Linked DNA regions of Rhinolophus ferrumequinum. The protein of the gene in region 1 interacts with the protein of each later gene in a biochemical or structural test. Links are inferred from orthologs where the notes say so. Each region holds a gene or a part of one and is shown in the gene's direction. Other genes may lie near its edges. The genes, in order: tyrosine-protein kinase ZAP-70, LAT, ERBB3 and LCP2.

The links.
Region 2: of the proteins of tyrosine-protein kinase ZAP-70 (region 1) and LAT, one has a biochemical effect on the other in vitro, tested with the Homo sapiens proteins (2 studies listed by BioGRID). The link is inferred for Rhinolophus ferrumequinum from reciprocal best matches to the Homo sapiens genes ZAP70 and LAT.
Region 3: the proteins of tyrosine-protein kinase ZAP-70 (region 1) and ERBB3 form a complex in vitro, tested with the Homo sapiens proteins (2 studies listed by BioGRID and IntAct, with this or other methods). The link is inferred for Rhinolophus ferrumequinum from reciprocal best matches to the Homo sapiens genes ZAP70 and ERBB3.
Region 4: of the proteins of tyrosine-protein kinase ZAP-70 (region 1) and LCP2, one has a biochemical effect on the other in vitro, tested with the Homo sapiens proteins (2 studies listed by BioGRID). The link is inferred for Rhinolophus ferrumequinum from reciprocal best matches to the Homo sapiens genes ZAP70 and LCP2.

What each region holds. Positions count from the first base shown.
Region 1 is NW_022680356.1:2,476,129-2,483,580, forward strand, and holds the start of tyrosine-protein kinase ZAP-70, read left to right. Parts: upstream 1-4,444; 5' UTR 4,445-4,520; intron 4,521-4,750; 5' UTR 4,751-4,822; intron 4,823-7,452. UniProt on the Homo sapiens protein: Tyrosine kinase that plays an essential role in regulation of the adaptive immune response. Regulates motility, adhesion and cytokine expression of mature T-cells, as well as thymocyte development.
Region 2 is NW_022680357.1:1,328,364-1,335,881, forward strand, and holds the start of LAT (linker for activation of T-cells family member 1), read left to right. Parts: upstream 1-4,502; 5' UTR 4,503-4,628; intron 4,629-4,801; 5' UTR 4,802-5,142; coding exon 5,143-5,245; intron 5,246-5,437; coding exon 5,438-5,465; intron 5,466-5,560; coding exon 5,561-5,595; intron 5,596-5,834; coding exon 5,835-5,922; intron 5,923-6,053; coding exon 6,054-6,118; intron 6,119-6,212; coding exon 6,213-6,387; intron 6,388-6,457; coding exon 6,458-6,552; intron 6,553-7,518. Other genes in the region: SPNS1 (protein spinster homolog 1), read left to right, coding at 394-545, 646-712, 1,461-1,606, 1,837-1,992, 2,279-2,468, 2,806-2,871, 3,117-3,215, 3,537-3,708 and 1 more. UniProt on the Homo sapiens protein: Required for TCR (T-cell antigen receptor)- and pre-TCR-mediated signaling, both in mature T-cells and during their development.
Region 3 is NC_046293.1:55,449,688-55,456,701, forward strand, and holds the start of ERBB3 (receptor tyrosine-protein kinase erbB-3), read left to right. Parts: upstream 1-4,007; 5' UTR 4,008-4,148; coding exon 4,149-4,230; intron 4,231-7,014. UniProt on the Homo sapiens protein: Tyrosine-protein kinase that plays an essential role as cell surface receptor for neuregulins.
Region 4 is NC_046307.1:36,963,467-36,970,937, reverse strand, and holds the start of LCP2 (lymphocyte cytosolic protein 2), read left to right. Parts: upstream 1-4,457; 5' UTR 4,458-4,708; coding exon 4,709-4,786; intron 4,787-7,471. UniProt on the Homo sapiens protein: Adapter protein primarily involved in signaling pathways within T-cells, as well as other immune cells such as platelets, mast cells, and natural killer (NK) cells.

The sequences.
Region 1 (7,452 bases):
TCAGCAGTACAGTTATTGAGTGCCGGCTGTGTGCCTGGCACTGCTGGGCTGGGTGCTGAGGACCCTGGAGAAGAGGTGGTGCAGCCTTCCTCACAGCAGCTTGCTGGCATCCTCCCGGGCATGCAGTGTGGTGCATCTGGCAGGCCTGGGTGTGCAGCAGCCACGCCAGACACCGGGTTCTTCCTTGCGCTCCCGACAAGTGGTACCCCACCCTCATCCCAACCTCTTGGGACTCCAGACCCGAGAGGCAGCACACCTCCTGTTGGCTTCCTGTCTCTCCCTCAGGTTGCCATTGGAGGAACAAGTGGGGTCAGCCACTTTCAGCCTCTGCCAGAGGTCCCCCCCTTTACCTGAGGGCCCCCAGGCAGCCTGCCCTGAACTGTCTTCCATCTCCCTCTTTATCAAAGAGGTGGCTCCCTTTGCCTTCTCAGTGTGCTGTCCGCTAAGGGCTTCTGCCGTCAGCTCAGTGGTTGCCCCAGCAGCCTGTCCCTGGCTTGGGGAGGAATGGCCACTCAGCAGCATGGGGACTGCAGGGTCCAGCCCTGTGGAGGCTCTGGGCTTCCTCTGAACCAGGAGATCACAGGCTCTGTCACTTACCGGCTGTGAAACCTCTTGGCCTTAGTTTCTATATCTGGAAAATGGGGCTAGCCTACTTCATGGGGCTGTGATGATTACTCTGTGAAACTCTGGCTCTGTGCCTGCCTGGCACCCTTTCCCCCCTCCTTCCAGCCATAGCTTCTGACTTCCCTGGGGTTCTTCTCCCCTGTCTCAGTGTGGTGTGCTAAGGCATGTGACCTGGTCCTAAGCCACTCACGGCCTAGCCACTGGTTTCAGGGACGGGCTGGGGGATGGGCATGTGATCCCTTCAGCCAATGAGCTGTTTGGGGCTTTTTCTGGGAGCACTGAGAGAGGTTCTTGCTCCCCAAGTGCATTTGAAGCTGAATCACTGTCTTGGACCACAGGGAGAAAAACTGTCTGAGAATGAAACCAACAGGTGGAGGAGGCAGCAACTTTTGGGTCAGCATTTAAACCCTGAGCAAGCATTTTCAACGCCCTTATCTGGGCCTTTCCTCCACTCAGACCACAGTTATCGAACACTATTTTGTGCCGAGTGCCACTCCGCTGCTGGGGATGCAGCCAGGAGTGAGACACTCCCCACCTCTCAGAGGTCACGAACCTGCCCCAGGGCCTTTGCACTTGCTGTTCGCTCTGCCTGGAATGCTCTTCCTCTGATGTCTCTCTCCATTGCTTCCGCCTGCACCTTCTTCAGGTCTTAACTCTCAGGCTATCCCCTCATGAGGCCTGCACTGACCCCTCTGTTCCAAATCACATGCCCACACACTTGTTCTCCCGTTTCCTGATTTATTTTAGTCCTCAGCAGTTGAAACCACCTGAAATATTCTATGGAGCACTTATTTATTTTGTTACTTCTCTTTCACCCTCACCAGAATGTCAGCTCCACAGGGGAAGGGATTTTCATATGAATTGTTGACAGCAGATCCCTAGTGCCTAGAACAGAGTCTGCACAGAGCAGGGGCTCGGGGTTGAATCAATAGGGAGCCCCAAAAGGACTGAAGAGGTGACACTGTCACCATGGTTTGAATGTTTAAGGAGCCAGATATTTGATGACCCCAGGGGAGAGCACACATGTGCTGTTGTGTCCAGTTGATTCTCTGTGACTTAAACCAGGTTGGATTAATTTTTCTGCGGGGGGTTGGTGCAGTGGGGTGGGGATGGGTTTCACTTTCAACCTCTAGGCTCCTGCATTGCACTTGGAAGCATGCAGTACTTGAGAGCAGCCCCTGGAGGGCGCAAGGGAGTCCCATTGCTGCCCTTGGACTTGCAATCACTAGCACATTGTAAACAGCGGGACAACCTAAAGATGATAACGACGACGACGACAGCAGTAATAGTGCACGTGCTTCAAGGTCTGTTTTTAATTTTCACAATAGCCCTATGAGATAGGTATCATTTCCTAAATGAGGAAACGCAGGCACAGAGAGGTCACGGAACTTACTGAGATCCCTGGGCTGTAAGTGGCAGAACCAGAAAAGAGCAACAAGAGAAAGATCACCGTTGTCTGACCATCCAGAGGAAAGGCACGTGAGCTGCATGGCTGAAGATCCCCAGGTGGGAAGGAATTGAGAAGGGGCCCGGGGGGGGGGGGGCTACCCTCCCTTGGGGGATCATTGCTCTGAGCTGTGAGCTCTCTCCCTGCAGCCCCCCTCCCTGCGGCAGGTTTCCCTGGCCTGGGGTCCTTTGAATTCTGGCATCAAATCTGGCCTGTGCACGGGTCGGGTGGAACAGACATAGAGCCCACCCTGCCCAGTTTGAGGCTTGGAAGGCTTCTGGGGGAAGCCACGTGGAACCAGAGACGTGGAGGAGGAGGAGTCAGACAGAAGAGGTGGGGGGACAGAGTTCAGGCCGGGAGACTAGTGTGGGGTGTGAGAGTGAGCGATCAGTTTGTCCTGAGGCTCTTTGCATATCTGGAATGAATATTTACCCCAACCCACCCCGACAAATGCACCACAACTTTCCCAGCCCACATTTCCATCCTGTTTGCTCTTTCCTCTGAACATTCAGGAGACACATCCATCTATCATCACTTGGGCAGAACTCGCAGCCTTATCTGCAGGCCAATCTCAGAATGACTGTCTGGGGCCATGTAGTTTCAGGAGGAGGCCTATGGGACCGGAAGGGGGCTCAAGGGCGGCTGAGCCAGTGCCTCTCAGAGTCTGGGAGTCCCCTTCCCAGGCCAGAAGACCCCAGATGGAAGCCCCCACATGCAGCCTGCTTACCTTCCAGGTCTCTGGGAGGCCAGCTCGCAGGGAGCTATCCTCCTCCTGTGTCCAGAGGTGGGCTGTGGGGCCAGACCCCAGCCCCAATCCCGCCTGGCCACTTGGCATCTGTTAATTAACCTCTCTGGGCTTCACTTACATTATGTGGAAAACAGAGTAAATTGTGAACTGCTTACAGGGTTGTCTGTCACATAGTAGGTGCTGGCTAAGTGCTCCTGTTATTACCTCTGCGGAGTAGGGGTACTGATGCTGTGACTTGTCCTCTCCTCGCCTGTGGCAGTCTTCTCTCACTACCCCAGGAAAGGGGAGTCCAGTATGGAAACAAAGAGATTTTTTTCTACATCCTGAGTTTCATGATGGCTGTGGGGAAAGGAAAGGCTTCTAACCAAAAGCAGTTTTAGGGGAAAATCTATGTAGGAGAAAAGTGTCCCAGCCTGGAGCCCAGAAGAAGGATTTCCTGAGTGGGGAGAGGGAGGTTCAGGGAACTGGGGGATAGCAGAAATGGGGAGAGGGTCCCCAGGAGAGGAGACCTGGGTGCATCATGGAGGAAATGCAGTCAGGTTGGGGAGCTGAGCCCACCTCCCCCAGGGCAGCAGGACCCAGAGAAGGAAGGTTCTTGGGATCTCAACAGTGGACCTAGGACAGCCCCACACAGATGCCTGAGGGCACACAGGTCCAAGAGACAAGGAAGTGGGGACGAGAGAGCCTCCAGGGACCTTGGGGCAGAGGAGGGAGAGATGGGGTGAAGTGGGCGCCGTGCCACAGGTACTTTGCGGGCCACTGAAGGAGCAGATGAGGGTGCTCCACCACCTCCGAGGGTGGGTGTGTGCCATCACAGGATGGGCCAGTGTGGGAAGGGAGGGCGAGAGGATGAGGAAGTGGTTGTGGCGGAGCGGAGGTGGTGACCAGCCAGGTGCAGTGGGAGGGGAAGGTCCAGGTGGGGCCGGACTGGCGGGCACTGGGGACGCCCTGCCTCCGTGCCTTGATATGGCCGATCCTTCTCAGAATCCTTCCCTGACACCCCCAGGCTGCGTGGGGCTCCTTTGGGGACACACAGTGCCCAGGTTTCTGCCATCACGCTCTGTCTCCCTGGTGACTCAGCTGCCTCCTCCTCTAGCCTGAAACCATTTGAGGGCAGGGACAGGGCTGTCATCACTGTCCTGATGCCTGGCACACAGAAGGTGCTTGGAAACTTTGAGGTGTGCACTGACTTTGTAGGTTTCTCCTCTGTTAGCTTTAACCTGCCCATGGAATAAATAATGAATCACTCATAGGGGCAGTTCTGTCAGGGGCTGGCCTGTGTCCATGTCCCCTTGGGAAGGGAAAGTGGGGGGATTCCAGTTTCCGCCCCCTCCCACTTCCGCTGTCCCACTCCCCAAAATTCCAGCACAGACAGCTCCCCTCCTGAGGTTTGGGGGTACCATTGGAATCATCATTCTTGCATATCCCCTGCTTGCAGCTAGCCTTGATTCCTCCCCCCACCCCGCTGGGGCAGGCACTGCTTGGCCCCGGAAATGCCCTCTGCCCTCTCCGGAGCACGTGGCCTGTGATTTTCCTTGAACACAGCACTTTATGACTTATACGTAAACTTCAAACGCAGCCCCCTTTCCTGTCTTCGCATCAAGGAAATAGGCTGAGAAACCCGCTGCTGAGAGCACATCAGGCCTTCCGGCCCAGGTCCCTGCCCGGCTGGGGCCTTCGTGCTGTCGCTGCTGCATCCAGGTGAGTGGCCATCCTTTGTTTTTTGCCTCTGTCCTGCCAGCACAGCCACCCCAGGGGACTCTGGGGCAGCTGGCAGAAGGTGAATAAAACTCCCCCCAGTGAGAAACTGGCAGGGCGGGACCTCCTTACACCTTGCCTGAGGGGTTGGTTAGCCAGCGGGGGCCTCAGGCTGGGGGCTTGGCCTACAGAGAAACCCAAGTTGTTTTCTTGGGCCCTCATTCTTCATCTAGAAGCAGCTGTGAGTCTGCGTTGGGGACCAGAGACCTTGTGGGTGGCCCGTTTGACTGGACATCCATCCCCAGGTAAGTCATCACGGATGGAACAGCTGGCTGCTGTCTCCAGGGGTGGCCTGGGTCTGGTGGAGGAGGATAGAGTCCGGAGCGCTGTTGGACTGGGACAGGGGGTGTCTAGCTGGAGAAGGAAGCAGACGCGGCCACACTGAGGGAAGCAGCACCCCCCACCCCCAACCCTTTCAGAGGCTCAGCTGAGTAGAAGTGTCCTGGGGACACAGAGGTGCCTGTTCAGTTCCTGGCCTCCCGCTGGGCCCCGCCAGGGCAGCATTCTTGGTTCCAGGAAGCAGGGAAACCTCCAGAGAAAGTAAACCTGTGCTCTGGCCGGAGGCCATGAATGTGAGGGTGGCTCAACAGGGCTGTGAATCTGAACAACAAAATGCCGATGAGTACCGTGAGGAGTCCGGGGCAGGCTTGAGCCACTTGTACGGCAGCTCAGGTTAAACGGGTCCCAGAGGGGTGAAGGAGCAAAGAGCTTGAATCCCGCTCAATCGCTGTGTGTCGTTGGCAAGTTGCGTGGCCTTTCTGAGCCTCAGTTTATATATCTGGTACATGCAGATAAAAATACTGGCACCTAGTAGGTGCTTGACTCCTGACTGCTGGGTGAGAGGTTTGGAAAGGTGCCCCAGGAAGGAAACGGTCTTGGCAGAAAGGATCAGGGCTTCGTGTGGTGAACAACTCAAGATGATCATTGTTACTGTTCTTTCAGCCAAGGCAGCAAGCACACAGTAGGTGTTGAATAAAGCTTGGCTGAGAGATTAGGCTCTGGGACTCCTGGGGTGCCAAGTCCTTGGGTGCCATGTGCCCAGGCTCTTCTGCCACCCCAGAGCTGCTTCTTCCTCCTCTCGCCTGTCCTCCAGCCTCATGCATGCAGCCCGGCAGGGACACTGGGCAGTGTTGAAGTGTACACTCTGGAGCAGGAGACCTAGATTAGCCTCCTGGCTCTGCCACCGACTGTGTGTGCTGTGTGACCTTGGGCACACAGAAGTGAAGCACACTCCACCTTTGCATGCTTCAGTCCCAAATCCACAAATCCTTCACTCACAGGGCTCTTGCAAGGATTAGGTGAGTGAATACATCTAAGTGCCTGGCACACAGTAGGTGCTATATAAGTATATTGCTATAGTTGACCCTTGAACAATGTGGGGGTTAGGGTTTTTGACCCCCGTACAGTTGGAAATCCATGTATAACTTTTGACGCCACCGTCGTCTGTCTGTATCCATGGGGGCTGGTTCCAGGACCCCTGCGGAGGCTCAAGTTCGATACATAAAATGTCCTAGAACAATGGCTACAGTCACTCCTACGCATCTGTGGATTCCCAACCGCGGATCAAAAATACTGTTTTCGACCTGTGGGTTGGTTGACTCTGTGGATGCGAAACCTGGGAGACGGAGGGCCGACTGCATAGTTACTGAAAAATATCTGCGTGTACGTGGACCAGGGCAGTTCAAATGCTTGTAGTTCCAGCATAACTGTAGTTCTGATGATCATTCCTCACTCCGGGTGGTCTCAGGCTCTGGACTTCATATCCTAGACTGTCCTGGGGGCTGCAGCAGCCAGACTGCTCCATGCTGACCACTCCCGGTCCCTCCCCAAGCATAGGGTTAAGACACAGCCAATTTTACCTTCCCTCTGTCCCTTGGGGAGTGTTACTGGCACCTACATAGTAGCTATAGGCCAGGAATGCTGCTAAGCACCCTGCAATGCATAGGACCATGTTGTCCCCACATCTCCACCAGGCTCCGTCCTCCAGACTCATCCCCTAAACCTTTTTCCATCTCCCTTTTACAGTCACAGAGCCTGATGTGCAGAGAGGGAGAGCTCCTCGTCGTGGTCACACAGCCCTTAAAACCCAGGCAGCAGACGTCGGGGTGGGGTGGGGAAGCTGGTGTCGTGGCATCATCCAGTCACTCAGCATACACTTAGAGAGTCTGCTGGATGTGGGGACCTGCCCCTGGCCCCCAGACAGCCTGGGCCCTGACAGTTGAAGGCAGCTCAGGGGACAGTGACACCTGGGTCAGTGCGGGGTCTGTGGGTGGGGGAGCCTCTGGGCACACAGCTTGGAACCAGGGATTCCACTGTCCTCGTGGACTGGAGTGGTTGATGCCGGCTTCTGGGTGAGAGGCCTGGGTTCAAATCCCAACTGCCATTGCAGGCTGCATGATTCTGGACACAGCATTGACCCCTGTAAGCCTCAGTTTCTTTAGCTGAGGAGGAATGGGGCTAGCAGTGAATGGAGGTGAGATGAGGATTGGATTAAATGGATAACGCTCGTAAGAGGTACCACCCAGTCCCTGGCACAGAGGCTGTTGTTGTTGCCCGGGTGATAGGTATTTATCAGAGGCAGCAGGGGCTACAGGAGAAAACAAGACAGCTGGAGGCTCTGTCTTGGGGCGGTCGGCCTGGTCAGAGGCAGACGAGCAGACTGACAGGGGTCCTATGCAGCCATCAGGGCTGTGATTTGGGAGGACAGGCCCTGGGAGAGCAGAGGCGGTGCCTGACTCAGCCTGGGCAGGAACACTTCCAGGAGAGGGGACAACTGAGGGGACCTGCAGCATCTGGCCAAGGGAAGGGTGTGGGCGCCGTTCTGGGAACAGAAAGCAGCCTGTGCAAAGGCTGCTGGCGTTGGTCCTCTCCTCTC
Region 2 (7,518 bases), on another chromosome or scaffold:
TCTTTGGTAGACAAATAACACCCCCATCTAAGATCATGACTCACGGCTGGGGTGTCTTGGGTGGGGTGGGCAAGATAGAAATTAAGATTTATTTTGTCCTCCCTGGGCACAAGGTAATGAACAGACCTTTTATCATCCAGTCCTCACAATAGTTATGTGAAGTTGTTATTATCCGCCTTTTGCAGATGAGGAAACTGAGGCTCAGAGAGGTTAAGTTCCTTTCCCAAACTCACAGCTAGTAAGTAGTGGAGCCAGGATTCAAGCTCAGGTCTGTCTGATTCTAAAACCCTGGCCTCTCCCGCCATCCCTGCCGCCTGTCCAGAGCTGGCTGGTGAGGCGGGCTGGGAGGCTGGCTGCAGGGCGGGTACCACGTCCCCCTGTCTCCTTCCCCAGCGATTCTGGCTGCTCCTCCTGACCCGGGGCCTGGTGGGGGTCGGGGAGGCCAGTTACTCCACCATCGCACCCACCCTCATCGCCGACCTCTTCGTGGCAGACCAGCGGAGTCGCATGCTGAGCGTGTTCTACTTCGCCATCCCTGTGGGCAGGTGCGTGGGCCTCGGGCCTGCCCGGTGGGCAGTCAGAAGAGCTTGGCACTGGGCAGGACTGACCGGCTGTCCCCTCTCTTTTCCCACCCCTCCCCGCCAGTGGTCTGGGTTATATCGCAGGCTCCAAAGTGAAGGACATGGCTGGAGATTGGCACTGGGCTCTGAGGGTGAGTCTGTTCTCCACCTGGGGGTAGGTACCTCTCGGCACCTCTTTTCAAAACAGTGTTTCCTCTGCCAAGCCTGTGGAAAGCCTCGCTTCCCTTCCCACAAAACCATGTGCCAGACAGAGCTCTTGGCTGCAGGTGACAGAAACGCATTGTGAAAGTGTAAGCCCCCACGTAGGACAGGGCTGGCTGTCATAATGGAAAGTCCCAGGGTGAGCTTCAGGTACAGCTTGATCCAGGACTCCCACCGTCACAGGAACTGGGTAATCCTTGTCTTAGCTCCCCTTTCCTCTGTGTTCACTTCATTCTCGAGTGAGAGAAAGCTCCACACGTTTATCTCCTCAGTTAGAGACTTAAGGCACCCTGGGTCCTTGCGTAGGAGTCCTGGATAGTATCCGGTTAGATGAGCATGGGTCACGTGTCTGCCACTGAATTGGTCACTGAGGCTGGACAAGTCTGGGTTCCGAGCCCCGTTTGAACCACATGGATTGAGAGAAGCGGGGGGAGTGGTTTCCCAGAAGAAAATCAGGGTGCTGTTACCAAAGAGGGAGCAGTTAAGCATGCAGAAGTGGGGGTGGCCCTAGTGGCCATTGCTCCTCCCCCCAGGTGCAGGCCAGCTTCCTTGAGCCAGCATTAGCCCAGGTGTGTGAGGTCTTGGGGCCTGAGGTGCCTTTACACACCCTCCCTTTCTCCCAGCCCCACAGGTGAGGGTGTCCGCCCGTGCTCGGCCTGAAGCCCACTCTTTCCCCAGGTGACACCAGGTCTGGGAGTGGTGGCTGTACTGCTGCTATTCCTGGTGGTACGGGAGCCGCCGAGGGGAGCTGTGGAGCGCCACTCAGACTCCCCACCCCTGCACCCAACCTCGTGGTGGGCAGACCTGAGAGCTCTGGCCAGAAAGTGAGTTTAATTCCATCGCAGCCCAAGCTGGCCCTCCCTGGGGCCAGGAATGCAGTCACTACTGCCCCCTGTGGCAGCTGCAGGAACTACAGGCCCAGACCTTGGGACCCAGGGCGGCCTCCACCCCCAGTGCCCTGACCTGACTAAAATACACCAGGAGGGGAGAACGGAGTCCCCTCCTCTGACACCTCGGTGGACTCTGACATCCTCCCTTTCAACGATCTGTGCAGCCCCAGTTTCATCCTGTCTTCCCTTGGCTTCACGGCTGTGGCCTTTGTCACGGGCTCCCTGGCTCTTTGGGCTCCTGCATTCTTGCTGCGTTCCCGTGTGGTCTTGGGGGAGACCCCACCCTGCCTTCCTGGAGACTCCTGCTCGTCCTCTGACAGGTACCCAGCTGGGGACTGGGCTGGGTGGCCTGCAGGTGGCAGGAGATGGAGGGGACAGAGGACAATCCAGGCTCAGACAGGGAGAGTCTGAATCCCAGCTCCACTCGCTACTTCCTCTCAGCGTCCTGGTTGGGAAACAGCTGGCGGGAGCTTGGTGACCTGTGGGCTGCGGTGCCTGGGTTGTGTGGGCGACCGGGGTGGACCATCCTCCTCTCCAGGCTGTTGGGGTGAGGCGGGGAGGCGTTGCAGGCAGATGGACTAGCCCGTGTGCCCCCGCCTCCCCCAGCCTCGTCTTTGGGCTCATCACCTGCCTGACGGGGGTCCTGGGTGTGTCCCTGGGGGTGGAGATCAGCCGTCGCCTCCGCCGCTGCAACCCCCGGGCTGACCCACTGGTCTGCGCGGCCGGCCTCCTGGGCTCTGCACCCTTCCTCTTCCTGTCTGTCGCCTGTGCCCGCGGCAGCATCGTAGCCACTTACGTGAGTAGCCAGCAGGTGTCCAGAGGGGTGTTGGGGGTTCAGGGTGGAGGAATGGGGCGCTGGGGCAGGACTGGGCTCAGCCAGCCCCGTGGTTCAGAACCAGCTTGGAGCAGGAGGGCCTGGTTCTGAATCAGCTCTTGCCCTTCCCAGCTGTGTGGCGTGGGCCGAGTGACTTAACATCTCTGTGCTCAGGTTCATGATGTGTAAATGGGAAGAATAGCTCTGTCTCATGGGGGTATTGTGAGGATTAAACGGGTTAGTAGATGGGCCTCCACGTGTTTGCTCTTCTTGTGATGAGATCATCCCCGCTCCCCCACACCACCCTCTGGTCCCCCAGATTTTCATCTTTATTGGGGAGACACTGCTGTCCATGAACTGGGCCATCGTGGCTGATATTCTACTGGTGAGTAGGTGGGCCGGTCCAGCATTGGGCCCGATGCTGGTGGGTGCAGGGAGTGGAGGCCTCACTTGCCTTGAATTGTGGCCTTTGTCCGTTCCGCGAGCCCCCGCCCCACACTGGCTTCTGAGTCCAGCCTCAGGTGGGCCTGTAGTCCCGGCCTGCCCTGCCCTCCCCCATCACACCTGTGACCTCAGCCTCGGCGGAGCCTTGACCCCTTCCTTGCCTGCTGTCTCCTGCCCTCCTCCCAGTACGTGGTCATCCCTACGAGGCGCTCCACGGCCGAGGCTTTCCAGATCGTGCTGTCCCACCTGCTGGGGGACGCTGGGAGCCCCTACCTCATTGGCCTGGTGAGCACTGCTCCTTCACTGGGCCTGGTGGGGGTTGGGGCACCCTGCCTTCCTGGCACCGGCCGGTGGTCAGTGGCCTGAGCCTGGGCTGAACCGGAAGGTTTGGCCCCAGTGAGGGATCCGGGTCTTCCATGCCAGGCAGCCGTCACCTTGGGTCCTCCGCTAGACGGGAAGGATTTTGTCTTTGCAGGTTTCCACAGGGCGGCCGGGGTCCTCTCCCCGGAGGTTCCAGGTCCCCCTTTCATTCTCTGGAGTTTGAGCCTCCCTCTTCCCGCTGCCCTCCCCGTGACCCTGCTGGCTTTCCTCCTCGTCTCCCCACAGATGTCCGACCGCCTCCGCCGGAGCTGGCCCCCTTCCTTCTTGTCCGAGTTCCGGGCCCTGCAGTTCTCCCTCATGCTCTGCGCCTTCGTGGGGGCCCTGGGCGGAGCCGCCTTCCTGGGCACTGCCATCTTCATTGAGGGCGACCGCCGGCAGGCCCAGCTGCACGTGCAGGGTCAGTCGGGCCCCCCTCCCCTTGCCCTAGGTCACAGTTCTGCCTGCTTGTTTGGTCATCCGCCAGCCCATCTGTGGCCTAGCCCACGTCCCTGGCACCTCACACCCCAGCTCTCCCCTCATCCAGCTTCGGGTCTGCCTGGCCCACAGGCTGACGTCCCGCCGTGCCCACAGCTCCGGGGCCCCAGGCGTTTCCCACTGTCTGTCCCACAGTGGCTTTGTGTCTGTCTGTCCAGCCAACCCTGGCTCTGACCCCTCCCCCACCAGGTCTGTTGCGCGAGGCAGGCCCGGAAGATGACCGCATTGTGGTGCCCCAGCGAGGCCGTTCCACCCGGGTCCCCGTGTCCAGCGTGCTCATCTGAAGGGCTGTCCCTCGCCTACCTGCACACCAAACACAGCAGGCCTCGGGCCCACCCCCGGAGGTGCCCGGGCCCAAACCCCCGACTTGGCCCCGCTTCCAGGAGGGGCACTGGGCCGTGTTCCCGCTCCCATACACTACATGGATGGCCAAGGGGGGGGCGTTGTGAGTCCAGGAGGGGACACCTCTCCCCTGGAGCAGCCCCAGGGGCTCGGTGCTATTTGTAACTGAATAAAATTTGTAGCCAGTCCCCAACTGCCTGCTTGAGTCTCTGTGGGTGCTGGTGACCTCCTATCTCAGGACTGTATGGGATGCCCCCTCTCCAGCCCTGGGGGGCTGTTGGGTCAGTTGTGTGGGGCTTCTGGGCTGGTGAACCGGAGGGTGGCGTGAGCTGGCTCCGTGTGACTATGAGTCACGCCCCTGCTTCCCGAGAGCCCGCCCCTTGGCCGGCTGGCTCGGGCGATGGGGTGGGCACTGCCCCGTGCCCCTCCGAATTCCCGGTGCCAGCCTCCCTCCGTGCTGCGTCCGTGGCTGGCCTGCAGCTGTCTCATTCTCTCCCACTGGTACGTCCTGGAGGCCAGCAGCCCCTTTTTGAGGACCTGGGGGTGGCTCCTCAGGTCTCCTCCCCCCAGTCCCCACTGGCTGGGTGGGGGTGGGAAGGGGGTGGGTGCAGCCGGCTGAGGAGCCCGATGATTTCCTGCCCTCACCCGGTGCTCACCACAGCTTCCTGCCGCAGGCAGGCGGGCAGGCGCGGAGGAGAGGCAGGCGCGGAGCCGGGGGGCAGGTAGGCCTGGGCGCGGGGTCCACACCAGTGGCTGGTGCCCCAGACTCCAGCCTAGGCCCTGGCCTGACCACCCTGGGATCCAGGGTCTTCCAGAGCCAGCGCTGACCCCCACTCAGCCCAGTGAGGCAAGGGGATCCGGGGAGCCCTCGAGGAGGGTGCGGCTGCCCCCTCATCAGGCTCCTAGCCGGGTGTGCTGGGCCCGGCACCCCTGCTAGCTCAGCTCTGCCCCTGCTGGAGCTCTGCCCTGGAGGGCGTTCGGCCAGCAGCCAGGCCTGGTCCCAGCTCTCCTGCAGATGGAGGCGGCCGTCCTGCTCTCCTTGGTGCTGGGCCCCCTGCTGCTGCCTCTCTTGGCTGTGCTGCTGATGGCACTCTGTGTGCGTTGCCGAGAACTGCCAGGTGAGTGGGCGCTGGCAGGGGGACCAGAGGCTCGGAGGGACCCACAGGGGTCCTCGCCCCCCTGCCCGATCCCTCACGCCATCGTGAAGTGTCCCGAACTCTGTCCTGCACATGGACATGGAGAGCCCCAGACTCCATCATCCCGTCCCCAGTCACCCCCTCTTCCTGCCTCACTGGCCCTCTCTTCCGCAGACTCATATGACAGTGTACCGTCGGATAGGTGAGTCTGCCCTTGGCCCCTAACACCCACTGCCAGGCTGGGCCTGGGCCTGGGGCCTCTCCCGGCCCCTTACCGAGCTCTGTCTTTCCTGCCAGTTTGACCCCAAGTAGCATCATGATCAAACGGCCTCGTGAGTACATGGAGGGTCCCTTCCTTCTGGGGTAGGGAAGAGAGTGCCCTGGCGTGTGAGTGCCCTGACATGTGAGCAAGTGTGTGCCTGACCTAAGCTGGGGTGGGGAGGGAGATGGGTGCCCCCAGACCTGGCCGGGGTACAGAAATTTCAGGGTGTTAGTGTGCCCTTCGGGGCCTCGACGGCGGGAGGGGCATGATGTCCAGAGTCATTCCTTCAGCTTGATCCTGTGTCCTCAGCCACGCTCGCCCCCTGGCCACCAGCCACTTCTTACCCACCTGTTACGTCCTATCCACCCCTGAGCCAGCCAGACCTACTCCCCATCCCGTAAGTGGCCCCTTCTCCTTCAACCCCCTCTCTCTACCGCTCAGCTCCTTGGGTTGGGACCCCTTCTCTTTTGCAAACCCCGTTGCCCCAGAGCCCCAACCTAGGCATGACCTCTTACTTTTGACTCCCAGGAGATCCCCACAGCCCCCAGGGGGTTCCCACCGCATGCCATCTTCCCGGCAGGACTCAGATGGCGGTACGTGTGGAGCGGGGCCCAGGGCCTGGGGCTGGGCACACGAGAGGCCCTGCCTCAGCTGACTCAGTCTCCCTCTCGCTCCCTCTCTCTGCAGCCAACAGTGTGGCAAGCTATGAAAACGAGGGTGCGTCAGGGACCCTCGGTGCCCTGGCTGGGGGCGGGGGGCCTGCCCCAGGCTCTGCTGACCTCTGTGTCATTACCACAGAGCCCGTCTGTGAGGATGACGATGAAGACGAGGACGAGGAAGATTATCACAACGAGGGCTACTTGTGAGTGGTCAGGAGGGGGGAGGGGGCCGAGCCCCGGTCTTTGCTCACTCGCCCCTTGACTTCCCCTCAGGGAGGTGCTTCCTGATACGGCCCCGGCCACTGGCACCGCTGTCCCAGCAGCTCCGGTGCCCAGCAACCCCGGCCTCCGAGACAGCGCCTTCTCCAGTGAGTCCCACTGTGACCGCCCCCCACCTCTCGGTGCCAGCCCCTCCACGCTCTCCTCTCCGGTTGTTTCTTTGGAGCTTGGACCCCTCTGCGTTCTCTCTTCTCTCTATACAATTGCCATCCTTCAGAGAGAGCACTTCCTGCTCCAATCTTCTGATTTTCCTACCTGTTCTCTCCTCTTTCCTATCGCTCTGGCTTTTTTTGTTTTCCTTTTATTGTCTGCGAGATTTCCTTGACTTTATTCTTCTTTCAGGGCTATTCCTTGACTCTCTTTTTTTATTTTGTGTCGCGGCTCTGAAAACTCTTTGTCGATCCCCAAATGTTCCTTTTTCATAGCTTCCTGTTCTTGTTTCATGGGGGTGGGGGGGCAAAGTCATCTTGTAAATCTCGAAGGGAATTGATTATAGGCTGTCTTTGTTGTTTTTGTTGTTTTGGAACTTTTCTGCTTCCTGCATTGTCTGTTTCCTTTGAGCTGTTTTTCTTCCTTCGTTTTGGTCTCATCCTGCCTGTGAAAAGCTTTCTTCAGTGTCTGTTACTCTCCTCTCTCTATATACGTGCCCCTCACTTCTACACCCTGGCTTCATTTGCCATCCAGATTCTCAACTTGTCGCCTCTTTTCCTGAGCTCCAGACCCTTTGTCCAAGTATTTCCGTTCATTCATTCACTCATTCATTCGTGGTGTTTACTGGGTACCTCTCATAGAAGAGCCAAGGAGGCAGAGTCATGATAAAAGAACTGATATTATTGAGAGCCTAATCCATGCCCTACTAAGAGTTTTACGTGTATTAGCATATTAAACCTCAATTCCCAGGAGCTGTTGAGCCTGGGCCTTCCCCTCCTGTACCTTGGTTGTCCCCTCTGGATGGCGGTAGGGTTTATTTATTTAACAGAGGCTTGGTAGCACTTACTGCTTAATACTTAACACTTCATATTCACTGCTTTAGTCCTCACACCACCACGATGAGA
Region 3 (7,014 bases), on another chromosome or scaffold:
TTCTATTTAGGATATTGTATATACATATATGTGAGATGAATCAATAACTTATTTCATGCATCTTCATTATCCAGTTTTAGAATCAAGATAACTACTATTAATTGGGTAGTATTGTTGTTATACTCAGAACATTTTTTAATGTTCTTATTAGTTCTAATTGTGTATGTGTTGTTTTTTGTTTGTTTTTTTGCATTAATCACTCTTGCAGGGGCAATATGTTATATGAAACTTACTTGGTGTATACCTTTTACTTTGCCTAAGTATTTACTTGACAAGTCCCTGAAAACTTCTCCCCTAAAAATACCTAAACACAAATACCTATTTTTACTATGTAGTACTAGTATTTTTTATTATTAAAATCTACTATCAACAAGTGATGCTTAAACAACTGAATATATACATGCTGGGGTGGGGCTGCGGGAGATTACGGGGACTAGGAAAATGATTACCAAAGGGCAAGAGAAAGTTTTCCTGGGTGATGGATATGTTCATTATCTTGATTGGATTATATACCTATGCCAAAACTCATCAAATTGTGACTTAAGATGTACAACTTATTATATATCAATTATATTTAAATTATACCTCAATAAACGTGCTGCAAGCGTGGGGAAGAAAGTCTTTAAAAATATCAAGATCACAAACCATAAGTAAAATTGACTAATCAGATTATACCAAAGGACTTTTGTTCAGTAAACAAGTTATTGACAGAGTTAATGAAGAAAGTTGAGAAGAGATATTTGCAATGTCTAAAAACAACAAAAGGAAGAACATTTGAGATTTTGCTCCCTGGCATATGTTGTCAGTTTGACTCAAATAAACTCATAAAAATTCTAAAATAAATAAATAAGTAAATAAGTAAATAAATAAATAAAATTAAACCAACAAAGGACTAATATCTGAAATACATAACAAACTGCTGCAAATCGATATAAAGCATGAAAATCCCTATAGGAAAATTGGCAAAGGAAAATGAATAGGCAATTCATAAAAGAGAAACAAAGGAAAAAATGTTAGAAGACACTCAAACATATTAGTAATTATAGAAATGCAATGTGATATTTATTTATTTATTTAAACATTCACCGTATTTTTTTTTAACTTTTATTTATTCAAGTGTGTTTTTCCAGGACCCATCAGCTCCAAGTCAAGTAGTTGTTTCAATCTAGTTGGGGAGGGCGCAGCTCATCCTGGCCCATGTGGGGATCGAACCGGCAACCCTGGTGTTACCAGCATCACGCTCTAACCAACTGAGCTAACCGGCAGCCCCTGCTATGTGCTATTTTAAATTCATGGCAAATTAAAAAAAAAATGGAAACCTGAATAATGTCAAGTATTGGTGAGGAAGTTGGGATACAGAAATCCCACTACTTATGGTGTAATATTCCAGAGTGTGGTTTATTATGCATAAGAACCAAAGGAGACACATACAAGGGTATTTATTTCTATTGCAACATCGCTGTGGTAGCCAGAAACAAGAGGCAATCGTTGGAGTGATGAACAAATAAAGCATAGGAATTCACATGACAGAATACCTTGCAGCAGTTAGGAACAAAGGCCATGGGGTCAAAGAAAGTTTATTTGTTTTGTTGTATGTTTTTTTAAAAGACGGCAGGTGTTACAGTACATTTGTATGTTAATGGGAATGATCTAGTAGAAAGGAAATTTGATACTATAGGAGAAAGGGGATAATATAGGAGAAAGGCAGGAAGGAATGATCTGAGATGTAGAACTGGAGGGTGAATTGGGGTAAGGGATGGGAATGGGGGAGTGACAGCTTTAATAGCAGCAAGGACAATTCATTATAACAAGATGGAAGTCAGAGTATATAAGTGAAGATGGAGGAAAATTGGCCAGATTGGTGGTAGAAAGATAAGGATGTTTTCTTTTGATTACTTTTATTTTCACAGTAAAATAAGAACCAAAGTCATCAGATAACAAATAAGAAAGATAAAGGAATTCTGGATAACTGTAGCTTTTCTAAAATACGGCCTCCTTTCCTTTATTTATTCAGTTAGGGTAGCACCCAATAGAGATGGCCCCTCACTTGTCAGCTTTATCCAGTGTTTATATCCCTATGTTTCTCTAATTATTGAAGAATGGATACCAGCAAACACACCTTGGGATCTAGCTGGGAAAGGGAGAGGTGGGGTTGGTGATAGCTGGAATAAATACAGCTAGTATTCATTGAATTCTTCTTTAAAGGTCCAGTGCAACACAATAATTAAGAGCTCTACCTGCCTTTTCTCATTAAATTCAAACAACAACCTTTATAAATAGACAAAACTGTTTTACAAACAAACTAAGGAGGGTTTCCTCCTTCAGAAACAGTGTCTTTGAACACTAAATTGAGATGGGTAATAAAACAAAAGGCGCCTTAAGATGGTATTTGTTCAGTTATCTGATGGGAATCTGATCAGAAGCAGATGAAGCTCCAGTATCAGTGTGACATAAGAAATCCTCAGCAAAAACCTGAGCCCCTCTTCCTAATCACCTGATCCACTGTCACCAAGTACATGACCTTGGAGAAGTTACACATTTTCCAGTTCCATAAAATGTAGACTGAGGTCCCTTAGCATACATTTTTATGTTAAGTAAAACATTCTGTAAGTTTGAGGAAACGCTTGCAAATTAAGTGGTATATGTGTGTATATGTTAAGGTTTCGCTGACGTTGATTACTACTGTATTATGATTGTTATGCAAGTGGTCAGGGCAAGGCCAACGCCCTCCGGCAAAGGTAAGCCTCCAGCAGAGAGTGGACCCTCTAGGGTGTATATCAATACCGAGCAAGTTTAAAGAACTGTAGCCGGTAGTCTAGGGTCGGAGTGAGAGGCAAAATTTTTCTTCATCAACTATTCTCGACGTCTTCAGGCTAAAAACTGTGAAGAAAATAATTAACTCTCTGGCTAAAATCCGGAATGCCAATTGTGGAGCCTCACTGCCACGGGTTCCGCACCAGGGGGCGCCCGGCGGATCCGTCCCGAGACTAGCCGGATTTGGGGCTGCCACTCGCAGAGCGCCCGACCGCCTCTGGCCAGGATCCGGGAGCTGGTGGTGGAGATGCCAGGGATCCAGGCCATTCGTGGACTTAGTCTCTAGTGCCCTCTCCATGTCCTCTTTCACCACCCCCTCCTCCTTCCCAGCTCCAGCCCGGGCTTGGAAGGCGCCAGGGAAGGTGTGAGCGCCTGTGGTGGGGATAGTGTGCCCATCTAGGTCCCCAGAAGAGCTTTAGGAATTCCCGCCGCCCCGACGGCGCGGTCAGACTCCTGTGGAAGAGGAGGCAGCTGTTCTCCCAGGCGGCCGTGGGGGGCAGCAGAGGGGATGGCGACAGGTGCGGGAGCCCCTCCCGGGGTGGAAGTGGAAAGGCGGGCTCCGGGTCTGTTCCCAGGCTGGAAACCACCCCCGCCCCTCAACCAAATCCCCCGGAGAGACCCGGCCGGCGCCGGGTCTGGAGGAGGAAGCGGCCGGAGACAGTACAATTTCACGCGGCCTTGGGGCTCGGGTTCCTCGGCAGGGTAGATGAGTTATGGGGTTTCGAGGGGTTTCCGGGGAAACTGAGGTGAACTGAGCGTGAGGCAAAAATATCCTCCCCCTCAAAAGCACAGAGAGAAACGTTCACATTCGGAGAGAAAAATCCCCCAAGTGACCCAACCGGCTAGGGTAGTTGAGTGATTTGGTTAATGGGCGAGGCCAACTTTCAGGGGGCCGGGCTTTGGCGCTCTCTCCCCACCCCCATTACCTTACCCCTTTGGAGTCATTTGGGGGCGTTTGGAATCTTGACCTCCCCTTAGTCCAGCTCCCAAAGAAAAATTCGGGTGAGACCCATCTTGGATCCGCTTGGCCCAGCTGCGGGGCACTGGGCGTGGGGCGTGCTGGCGGCGGGTGGAAGCTCCAGTAGTCCCCACGCCAGCCTCGCGCCCGCGGGGGCGCGGCCGTGACTCACCCCCTCCCTCTGCGCTCCCTCAGACACACACCCCTCCCCTGCCATCCCGCCCCGGACTCTGGCTCCAGCTCCGGTTGCAGTTTGCAACCTCGTCCGCCGCAGCTACCAGTTCGCGGGAGGCTCAGGTGGCTCCGCTTCGATGTCTTAGTCCAGGGGCCCCCGGGGCCGGATTCGGCTGGGCTCCGCTCACCCTCCGCTGGAGTCATGAGGGCGAACGGGGCTCTGCAGGTGCTGGGCTTCCTTCTCAGCCTGGCCCGGGGCTCCGAGGTGGGCAACTCACAGGCAGGTAAGCGGCGAGTGAACACAGGCAGGCTCGGAACCTGGGATTCCGAACTGAGTGCGCGGAATCCTGGGGCAGCCGCAGGAGATCGGGTGGCGCGAGCCTGGGGATGCTGACCCCGGATCTGCTGGGATCACCTGGGCAGGGACCGTCTGGCTCGGGTTCGAGGCGTGGGACCGGGGGAGATGGGATTCCTGGACCACCCCCTCCACCACCACCACCTCCTCCCTAGTGCATCGCCGACCCTCTAATTTGCCCTTTGCGATAGGACTGATGCCGAAAGAGTTCACACTTCTGGGGGGGCCCTGCAGGGAGGGGAGCTGGGACTTCCATTCTGTAAACGTAAGATGATTGGAGGTGGAGATCTTGGAGAAAGGGGGGGTGTCTCAGTTTGCTCCCCAGTCCCTTGCCCACCCTCACCCCCCTCCCATCCCCGGGTTTCAGCAACCTCCAGTTTTGTTGTTTTGCCGACAGGGTGGAGCTATGGAAGGGTTGGAGGGGGTTGTTGTTCTCTAGTGTTGGAAAAACAAGAGAGGCACCTCCTCTTCCGTGAGTGAGCCTGCCCTGGGGAGGGCTGAGATTAACCAGTGAGCCAAGTCCAGGTGATACCAGGGTGAGAGGCCATGCAGAGTATGATTGTCCTCTTTCCCTAAAAACCATAAAGCTGGCTGGTCCCAACATGACCAACCTTTCTTTGTCAAGATCCAGAGCAAATCAACTAAAATTTACTGAGCATCTACTATACGCAAAGGCCTGGACCTGGAGCTGAGCTGTAGTAGCCTCAAGGATTTCCCGCCTGTTTGTCTTTTCTCTCCCCAACGTGAGGGCTAACAGGGCTCCTCTCCCACCCTCTGAATTCCTGTCCTTCCTGGGGAGTTCTTCCTAGACCCAGCTTCTCTCCCACCACCATTCTGTTTATTGTCCGACTCTGTCTCTAGGAGTCTAGAGGAGTCAGATTGCTCTTCTATTCCTCCTCCCACTCCCATGCCATCTGAGTCCACCCCTTTGGGGTGTCTCTGGACACCTGAGGGGTGCTGATGTTGCTGGCATTGAAGGAATCCTGTTGATCTTCTCCCCTCCCCCTAGATCTCAGCTCTGGGGTTTGGCACAGCCAGGGCCCCTTCCCCAGAGTGGGAGTGGGAGAAACACCTGTGCTTCCCCCACAGTTGCTGGGCCTAAATTTAGACCCTGGGATCTTGAGATGTGAACACTCCCAGCTGGTGGAGTTGGGGGGGGGGGACAGGGAGGGCTGGGGACTAGAGTGGGAGGGACCTAGTAGTGGGACTCTATCATTGTCCCTTTCAGACCCCTGGAATCTTCTACCAGGAACCCTGGCTACCTTCCCTGAGGGAGCCAGGGGGCAGGCTTGGTTGGGTCTCTTTACCCTTTATCTGGATCATGCAGCCTCTGGGCATCCGGCCCTGTCTCAGTCCTTCTATAGCCCCTTTGTCCTGACTGTGATGGGGGTGGGGGACGTTGGAGTGGAGGCCTGTGCTTGTGGAGGGGCTGCAGATTCTTGCTGAGACCCACCCCAGTACCCTACCCTAGGAGGGCCTGTGACACAGCCCCTCCCTGTGCCCCTGCTCCCTGAGTACAACAGGGATTGTTATAATTCCCCTCCCCCCCGCCTTCTCCCAAGGTGCCTCTTCAGAGGTGTTCATACTCTCTTCCCGCTCAGGCCCTTTGCTCCCTGTGTATGTAGTATGGACTTTACCCTCTGGGTGGCAGGGAACTGGGACCTCTTAACAGTCGCCTTCCGAGCACGGACTCAAAGTCTGCACAATGGGCTGGTGGAATGGATGGGGCCACCTGAAATTCTTCCTAATAAAGAAACCCAGGAACAGAGCTAGTATAGATTTCTGGGCCAGCAGAGGAGCTATCTGTGTGTCTCACGAGTGTGTGCACGTCCACACACACAGCCCACTTCCCTGTGCAGAAATCTTGGCTCCTCCCTTATCTGGAGAGAAGGGTTGGCGCCTTGACTTGGAAGAGGGGGTGTCCTGCCAGGAAGGGGGTTGGGGTGGGGCTGTTCCAGAAAAGACTAACCTTCCTAGTCTCTTTCATTTCAGCCCAAGGACCCTGGAGTCCCTAGGTTTCCCCGGGAGTTGCCTGCCTACTTACCCTTCTTTGTCTGCCCCGTTCCCTTTGTGGGGAATGATAGGGAATGGGAGCCCTCAAAGTGGTCAGACCAGGGATGTATTTAGGAGGAGGGGTTGGGACCTCATCAGACTTCCTCCATTCCCACTCCTGCCTCCCACTAAGCTGCCACCGCCTCAGGGAAGGGTGGTTGGAACAGGTGGTATCTTCCCCACACCCTCCCCACAGTCTTTCTCTGAGCCAGAGGAAAGAGATAGGGATAGGGCTTCAGGGTCAAGATTTCCTGTAGCCCCTACATCGTTTGTACTTACTTACAAGGTGAAGCAAACCCCCAGACTGACATTCCTCATGGACCTCAATTCTAGGCTCTACCTAATGTGAGTGAGGATTGCCATGTTGGAAGGCTTTTTAACTACTCTTCAGACAGTGAAACTGAGTGGAAGGCTTAGAATGGGGGGAGTTTGCTGCTCTTTTGCTCCAGGCCTCTCTATATTTGCTGAAGAATACTCTAGGCTGGAAAGTGTGTTGGGATAGGGGAAGGGAGTGAGAAGGGAAGCCGGAGTAGGGTAGGCAACCAGCTCCTTATCTTCCAGTTTTAAAGACAAAGCTCACATTGACCCCACCACCACTACCAGAGCTCCCCCCCGCTAGTGAGGTCACTTGTCTGTGCCCAAGGCTTGAGGGTGGAGGGGG
Region 4 (7,471 bases), on another chromosome or scaffold:
GGTTCATGCTTTCCTCATGCATGTCCCAGGAAGGGGGAGGTGTCCAGTCTGGGCTGGGAGGAGGGTCTGAGCAGTGGTCAGGACAGAGCGCAGTGTGGCTTGCAAGCGCCCCTCCCCCACTGCCCACCCCGTGGCCTCCACCAGTACTGGTGAGAACGGCTCCTGCACATCTGGGGATGCTCTTTGGCAGGCCTGTCCCTCCTGGCACACCCATTCGGAGGCAGGGTCACTAAATTCTGTGCCTCAGTGTATGGCTGCCAGGTGTGTGAAGCTGCCCTGCCCAAGGGAACAGTTAGGACCCCATCCTGGCTCTCCTCGCTTGACCCTTCTGTGTGGTTGAGCCATTTGCCATCCAAAAGGAGTCCACACAGAAGGGGCTTCCACTGCCAGCCTTAGAGAACTGAGGGGAAAATATTCCCTCCCTGTGAAGGTGACCGCTACAGTTCTCGTTCCTTCTGCAAGCAAACCCACACAGGCCCTAGAGAAAGTACCAACAGCAGTTCACCTCAGCCTCAGGTGATACATCGAGCCATTAAAAGTTGGTGGAGGTGAGGCTGGGATGAACCCGTATGAGGGATGGCACCCTCTCTGGGCCACTTTCTACCACCTCTTCTCCTTCCCCCAGCCAACACCCTCCTTCTAAATTAAATACAAACTAGCGCATCATCCCACCCATCCGCTAACTCCTTAGGTACCTCTCCTAAGAAGGCCAACACATTCTCCGCTCCAAAATCCCTACTTTCCATTCTCTCCTGGTCCCTAAGCAACAATTCCTTCCTCCGCCCTCACGCACAGAGGCTGAGACTCCCAAGTCCCCGTTAATGACCTGCTTATTTTTTCTCACCCCTAAATTTAGCTGTGAAAAAGGCAGTTATCTCCCCCCCTACTCTGCTGTGGGTTAGCTGGAAAGGGAGGGAGCTTCAAGTCTGGATGGGGTGGGGTGGGGCAGGGAGGATATCGGGGTGACCTCCCTCTAGGTTGCAGTGTGCTGCTCCTACATCCACTTTTGGTCCCTAAGATTGAAAAATCTGACGTATCACTCCCTGCAAGTGTTCCTTTCTTGTCCACAGGCTCTGTTGGATACACGTTTCAGATTCCTATCCCGTGACCCCATTCCTGGTACTCCCATGAGGCAGTCCTTACTGTGTTCAGAGACTAGTTGACCCCTTCCTAACCTTGAGGTAAAGATTACAAAGCCTAAGAAGGCCTCTGTTAACCTTTCAATTTGCTCCTTCATGAGGGAGTGCTGGGAGAGGGTCCTACCCGAGCCATGGCTTCACATCTCTGCCTCTTACCTGTTTCCCACTCTGCTTCATGCTCGAAGCCAAGACCAATGCTCGCTAGGGGGTCGGTGGGAAGTTGGCCTGACCGTCATTGCGGCAGCCTCCCCCCGGCTGTGGGCTGTACCCAGAGGCTGCTATTGTCACTGCCCGTGTTATAGAGCCTGAGACTGAGCCAAGGAGCTGGCCTGCACAGGGTTACCTGGTCCTCCTGGCGTCCTGACCCTCTCTTCCCCAGGGCTAACTGGCCCTGCAACAGGAGCTTCTAGAACCCTCCAGACAGGCAGAGACAGGCAATGTGAAACTTGTGAGCGTTGGGAAATCACCGAGGACTGGGGAAGAGGAAAGGCTCCAGGTCTCAGGCAACCAGCTTCCCCTTGCGTCAACTGCTCTCGCCTGCACAGCTGCCCTTTTCTGAGGAACAGGCCTGTGATCCTGTGGGGCGGGGTCACCAAAGCCCTGCCTCCTGGAAAGGGCTGCATCGTCTTCTTAACTTGTCCAGACTGCCAGCCTCACTGGCTCTTCGCGGAAGGCAGACGGATAGAGTGGAAATTGCACAGGCTCTGGAGACACAGCTGGGTTTGAATGCCTACTCCAGCTTGGGCGATTTATGTAACATCTCAGAGCCTGAGGTGACAGAGAGGTAAAGGACAGGGGCTCTGAACTCAGAGAGAGTCCAGGCGAGACCCAACTGCACAACCCACATGCCGGGTGCAAGGGGGCACGTTGCTTCACCTCTCTGAGCCTCAGTTTTTCCTTCTGTAAAGTAGGAGTCACAATGGCGCCAACAGTGAAATGAGATAATTAGTGAACAGTTCTCAGTCCCTCCCTGGAGCACACGCAGGGCTCCATGTGTTGCATCTGCCATGATTCTGATCATGTCGTCATCGCTGTCACCAGGTTTCTTAACTGCTGTGTCTTTCTTCTAAATGGGCTCCGTGTGTACTGGATAATTCTTCCCTCAAAGCCTCATATTTAGCGATTCCTTAATTCTAACGCCTGCTTTTCTGTAGGCAATGGGAATGAATGTCATTAAAAATTTTGTTTCTACTTTTCAGGATGATCTTGAATGTTCCTTTCCACAGGTGTGGTGTGTTCTGTTTGCTAATGAAGTACACTCCAACATATTACACACACACACGCGCACGTGCATGCGTGTGTCCAGAATGCCCTCCATCTTCCCCTTGCTTAAATTACAGCTAATTCCATGACATCTTCTTTGATCATTCTACTTGGAAGTGATTTATCTGTCTCCCTTTTTTTCAAATGGTGTTTTATTGTTCGCTGCTCTTCTAGTGACTGGAAAGTGAAGTGACCTCTCCCAGCAGTGGCGGGCTTTTGAAGAGTAGGCCCATGCCATGTGGAGCATGGCCAGTTATGAGAGAGCGTGCTTAGGTCCAGGCCCTGTGAGGAGTTCTCAGCCTGGGCTGCCTCCACTGACCCCCCTAGTGCCCTGGGGGGGAGCATGACACCAGCTAAGTTTATGGACCACCTCCGTAAAGGAGCCCAGCCTGGGATGAAATGCCAATCTCACTGACACTCGCAACGACAGGCTGATGCATACAATGGCAGACATGGTACATGGCCAAAGCTACCCTCGAAAAAGCTCAGGAAGGCACCACCTCAGGACCAATGCAGCATCACTCAATAAATGCAACAGAGCTGGGTTCTTTCCTCAAGCATCAGAGCCATGGCCGTCTATGTGTACGTGCCTGGAGTACGAGATGAAACAGTGAACTTGTCTTCAGAGGCGGCAATGGTGCCTACGAGGTCTGACAATTAAGTTCACGAACTTGTTGCTAACCTTTTTGATATCGGAGGGATTATTCATTATAAATGTGTACCAACTGGACAAACAGTTAACCAAGTTTACTAGTTGGAAGTGCTGAAAAGGCTGCGTGAAAAAGTTAGATGAAAATGAGCTGAACTTTTTGCCAACAATTCATGGCTCTTGCATCACGACAATGCACCAGCTCACACAGCACTGTCTGTGAGGGAGTTTTGAGCCAGTAAACAAATAACTATTGGAACACCCTCCCTACTCACCTGAACTGGCCCCCAATGACTTCTTTTTCTACCCAAAGGTAAAGGAAATATTGAAAGGAAGACATTTTGATGACATTCAGAACATCAAGGATAATACCACAACAGCTCTGATGGCCATTCCAGAAAAAGAGTTCCAAAATTGCTTTGAAAGGTGGACTAGGCGCTGGCATCGTTGCATAGCTTCCCAAGGGGAGTACTTTGAAGGTGACTGTAATGATGTTCAGTAATGAGGTACGTAGCACTTTTTCTAGGACGAGTTCACAAACATAATTGTCAGACCTCATAAATACATCTGCTTTTAGCCACTGTAGTCAACCTCTGCTAACAAGGCATTTAGACTATGAGGAGTACACGGAGTCTGAAACCGACTGAGGAAACAGCAGGTGCCCATCTCCTGTCTCAGGGCCACGCCAGGAAATGTGCTCTGGATAGAATGTATGGTGGAAACAACAGTGAACAGAATATATGGCAGCATCAATAGCAATTATTGTTTTTTTCTTTTAATTCTTTTTCTTTAAGTTTGTCTAGTTAAATGCATCTACGTTTTATGTACATTTGAAGTAATCCTTCTGTTTTCCTCTTTAACAGATCTGGAAATTCCCCTTGACTCAGTGAGAGTCCTAGATCATACGTCCTTGCCTAAGCTGGCACACGGCAGAGACTTCATATCAGAAATTACACCCAGTTCTGCCCGGCACAGCCCCTCTCTCAGCCCTGGGTGCCCACCCAGCTCACTCATGAAGAATCCTCTCCTAGGACCTCTAAGGAGGTAGCTGAAGGAACCTCAACTTTATCCCTTTGAGAGAGACTGAGGGGTGGTTAGCAAGCATGAAAAGGCCATGTTCCTCCCCCAGCAGTGCACTGATGTGGGAAATTGTCTATATTTTAGGTCAACTGTCAAAATAGGTTTTCATCAGCAAAGGCGCAGCCAAGCAGGAATGTGGTGTGGACACATGGGTGCCAAGAGTTCTAATGGAAGCCTACTTGGACTCACGGGAGAGTCTACGTCCCCTTCGTCACCCCTCCCACCCGGCTGGGGTGGCTGGGACCAGCAGGGTATCACCAACCCTGTCGCTCTCTCTGTCTCTCCAGTCCCCAGAGCTGAGCTTCCTTGTTTACTTATTTAGAGCCCAGCAGAGGAAGTGGTAAAGGAAACTTGCTGAGTCGTTTTCTGAGAAGAGACCATATTTGTTCGCGGAGGAAGACGTTGCTTTCTGGGATCTGGTTACAGCAGAAAAGACGTTTGCTCCAACGAGGCTGTTCCAAAGAGTAACTGGGAATTGGAAGAGCCAAGGACACCTCCACACCCTCGATTTGAAGTTCTCTGTCCATGGGTGCAGCGCCCACACTCAGCTTTTGAGCTTCCTCCTGGGAGAGCAGCCATGGCGTTGCGGAATGTGCCCTTCCGCTCAGAGGTCCTGGCCTGGGATGCCGAGAGCCTCGCCGACTATTTCAGGAAGGTGAGCCTTGCTCTTTGTTGGTGGCGGGACTGGCAATGTCCTCGGTGGGCTGGACAGAGGCTTGAAGATGGAGTCCAGGCCGCACAGGAGAGGCGGAAAAGATAGCAATGGAACTTCCAACCTCGCAGCAACCTCCCCAGTTGTGCGAGTGCCATGTAGATACACCTACACCCCTGAGCGTTCGTGGTAGTGAGAGCTGCGGAGAAGGGAGGCCCTCGAATGAATGTGCAGCTAGTATGTGCCAGGGCTTGAGTGTGTGCTCTCGAGGCTCTGTCCCATTTAATACTCTCCAGTGTTGTTGTTCCTTTGACTCAGCTGCAAAATCAGCTCAGTGAGGTTAAATGGCCCAAAGCCCCAGGGACTACATGTGACTGAGGCAGGATTCCAGTCACGCCTGTCTGGTTTCAAAGTCTATGCTCTGAGCTGCAGAATTGCTAGAACTACTCGTGAGATCAAGGCTACTTACTAGAAAGGGAGAAATGGAGTCCAGGAGGCAGGAGAAAGAAAAGGCAGGGTAGGAGGGATGAAGAAGGCTCTGATGAGCAATGCGGGAGGTGGCAGCTGGGCAGTCAGTGCTCATGACCCTGAAAGCGGGGTCTCAAGCCCTTATATGGGACAGAGGCTCGTTGAAGCTTTATGAGAGTCTTGTGAAGCAGGTCAGAAAACCGATAGGAGCCCAGGTTATAGCCAGGGGAACTGAGCTCCCTACAGAGGAAGAGGCTTAGCCAGGCAGGGTCAGAGGCTAAGCTTGTGGCAGAGCTGAGGCCAGAATGTTGCCGTCCTGCCTTCCGGATGTGGAGATGCTCAAGGATCCCTGTGCTCGGTCATCTGCTGCTGGGACCACAGTTTATATATCTGTTTGGGCAGATCCCAAGCTACATGACTCAGTAAGGGACCCTGTGTCCCTGTCCAAGGGATACAGAGTCTGTGAGGGACACTTGATTCTCTCACACCCCCATCCCTGAAGGCTGGCAGTAAATTCAGTTGACACTCCAGACTGTCATAAAGAGGAGACGTTAAAGTCAAGGCTTAGAGATCTAACTCAACTTTCTGTTTTTTTCTGGGGGTGGAATACTCTCCTTAGGACACCGAGCCAAACCTGGGGTCTATAGGGTACCAAGAAATTGACTATCACAACTATTCTTCCCCAAGCTAAAGAAGAAAAGTATGAAAATGTTGAATGACATGATAGAGGGACAGCCGACAGAGCCTGTTATTGGCTGCTTTGTGTGCATCTCATTTCTGTTCTTATTCCCTCTCAAAGGTCATAATAAACTTTTGACATGGTGGGTGTTAAGATTGAACAACTGACTTTTGAAGGATGTCTCTACATACTTATCTTAAATGTAGATCAAATAAACTAAGGCACAAGGTGAAATTTGCCAAAATGCTGTCAAGGGGCACGTTAACTCAATAAAGAAAGAAGAGAAGAATTAGGGAGGGAAACCCGGGGACAGACTGAGAGGCACAGACAGTCCCCATCTCCAATGTGAGAAGGAGAATGGCACAACCCAGTCCAACAAGCGAATCCCTGGGTAACGAATGTCCCCCTTGGCACAGGGAGATGAACTATGGGTTAGGGATGATTCAGGGAGCATGGCCTCTGCCTGAGAGAGAGCTTTCTTCTTGGAAATCCCAGACTCTGGGACAAATTTGTAGCACCAGGACAGGTTACTGCTCTCAGCATAAAAGAACAGGGGAGAGGAAGAAGGAAACGGAGGTGCATCTGTGATCTGGGAAGTCCCAGCCTCCAGGACTCAGAGAGACACCCTCCAAATCCTGAGCACCTGAGTCCTCAGAGAGAACGTACCGATTGAACCAGCACGAACGGATCACTTGGGGATGGACCCTAGCCACCCGATGCCCTAGTTACAGGATTGATTGTCAAGTCCAGTTTCTAAGGAAGCAGTGGGGTCAGGCCTTCCTTGGAGACACCTCCCCAGCCAGCTCTGGAGTCAGACACATCTTAGTTTCACTCCTGGCTCTGCCACCTGCTAGTGTGGTGACCTTCCTTTAGTTACTCGACATCTCTGTGCCTCAGCTTCCTCATCGGTTAAATAGTGATAGTAACTAACCTCGTGGGATTGTTGGGGGAATTAAAGGAAATAGTGGGTGTGAGGCATTCAGCAGAGAGAGGGGGGCAATTCATGTTCAATCTTCCCTTTGTCCTGCTCTGTTCACTGGACCCTCGCTGGGGTGCCCAGGCAGACTGGCAGGTCTTTGTGTCTTACTATCTCAGATACGTTAGCTCATCTTGTGTCTGGAATGTGAGCCCCTGAGGACTGAAGTCATGTTTTATATTCCTTTAAGCCCTCCTATCCCCTTTGGCTTAGCAGGACAGCTTTCCTAGGCTATGCAGTGGAGAAGGCACTGGCTCAGAGCCATGGCTTCTACCCCCAGCTGTGTCCCCAACTCACTGTGTGACTTGGGGCCAGTCCCTTCCCCTCTCTGGGCCCCAGTTGGCTCTTCTACAACCCGAGGTACCTGCTCTAGACCAGTGCCAACCAAAGCTGGGTGCTCATAAGAATCATCAAAGTATTTGCTAAAAATATAGACGCTACCCCCCAGGCCGTGAATCACAACGAACTTCCAGGCAAGTTCCAGTCTGCCAGGCTATCTGTCTATTTAGAGTTGAAGTTGGCACGCTGCAAAATCAGAGATACGTCTGATAAAGATGCCAGTGAA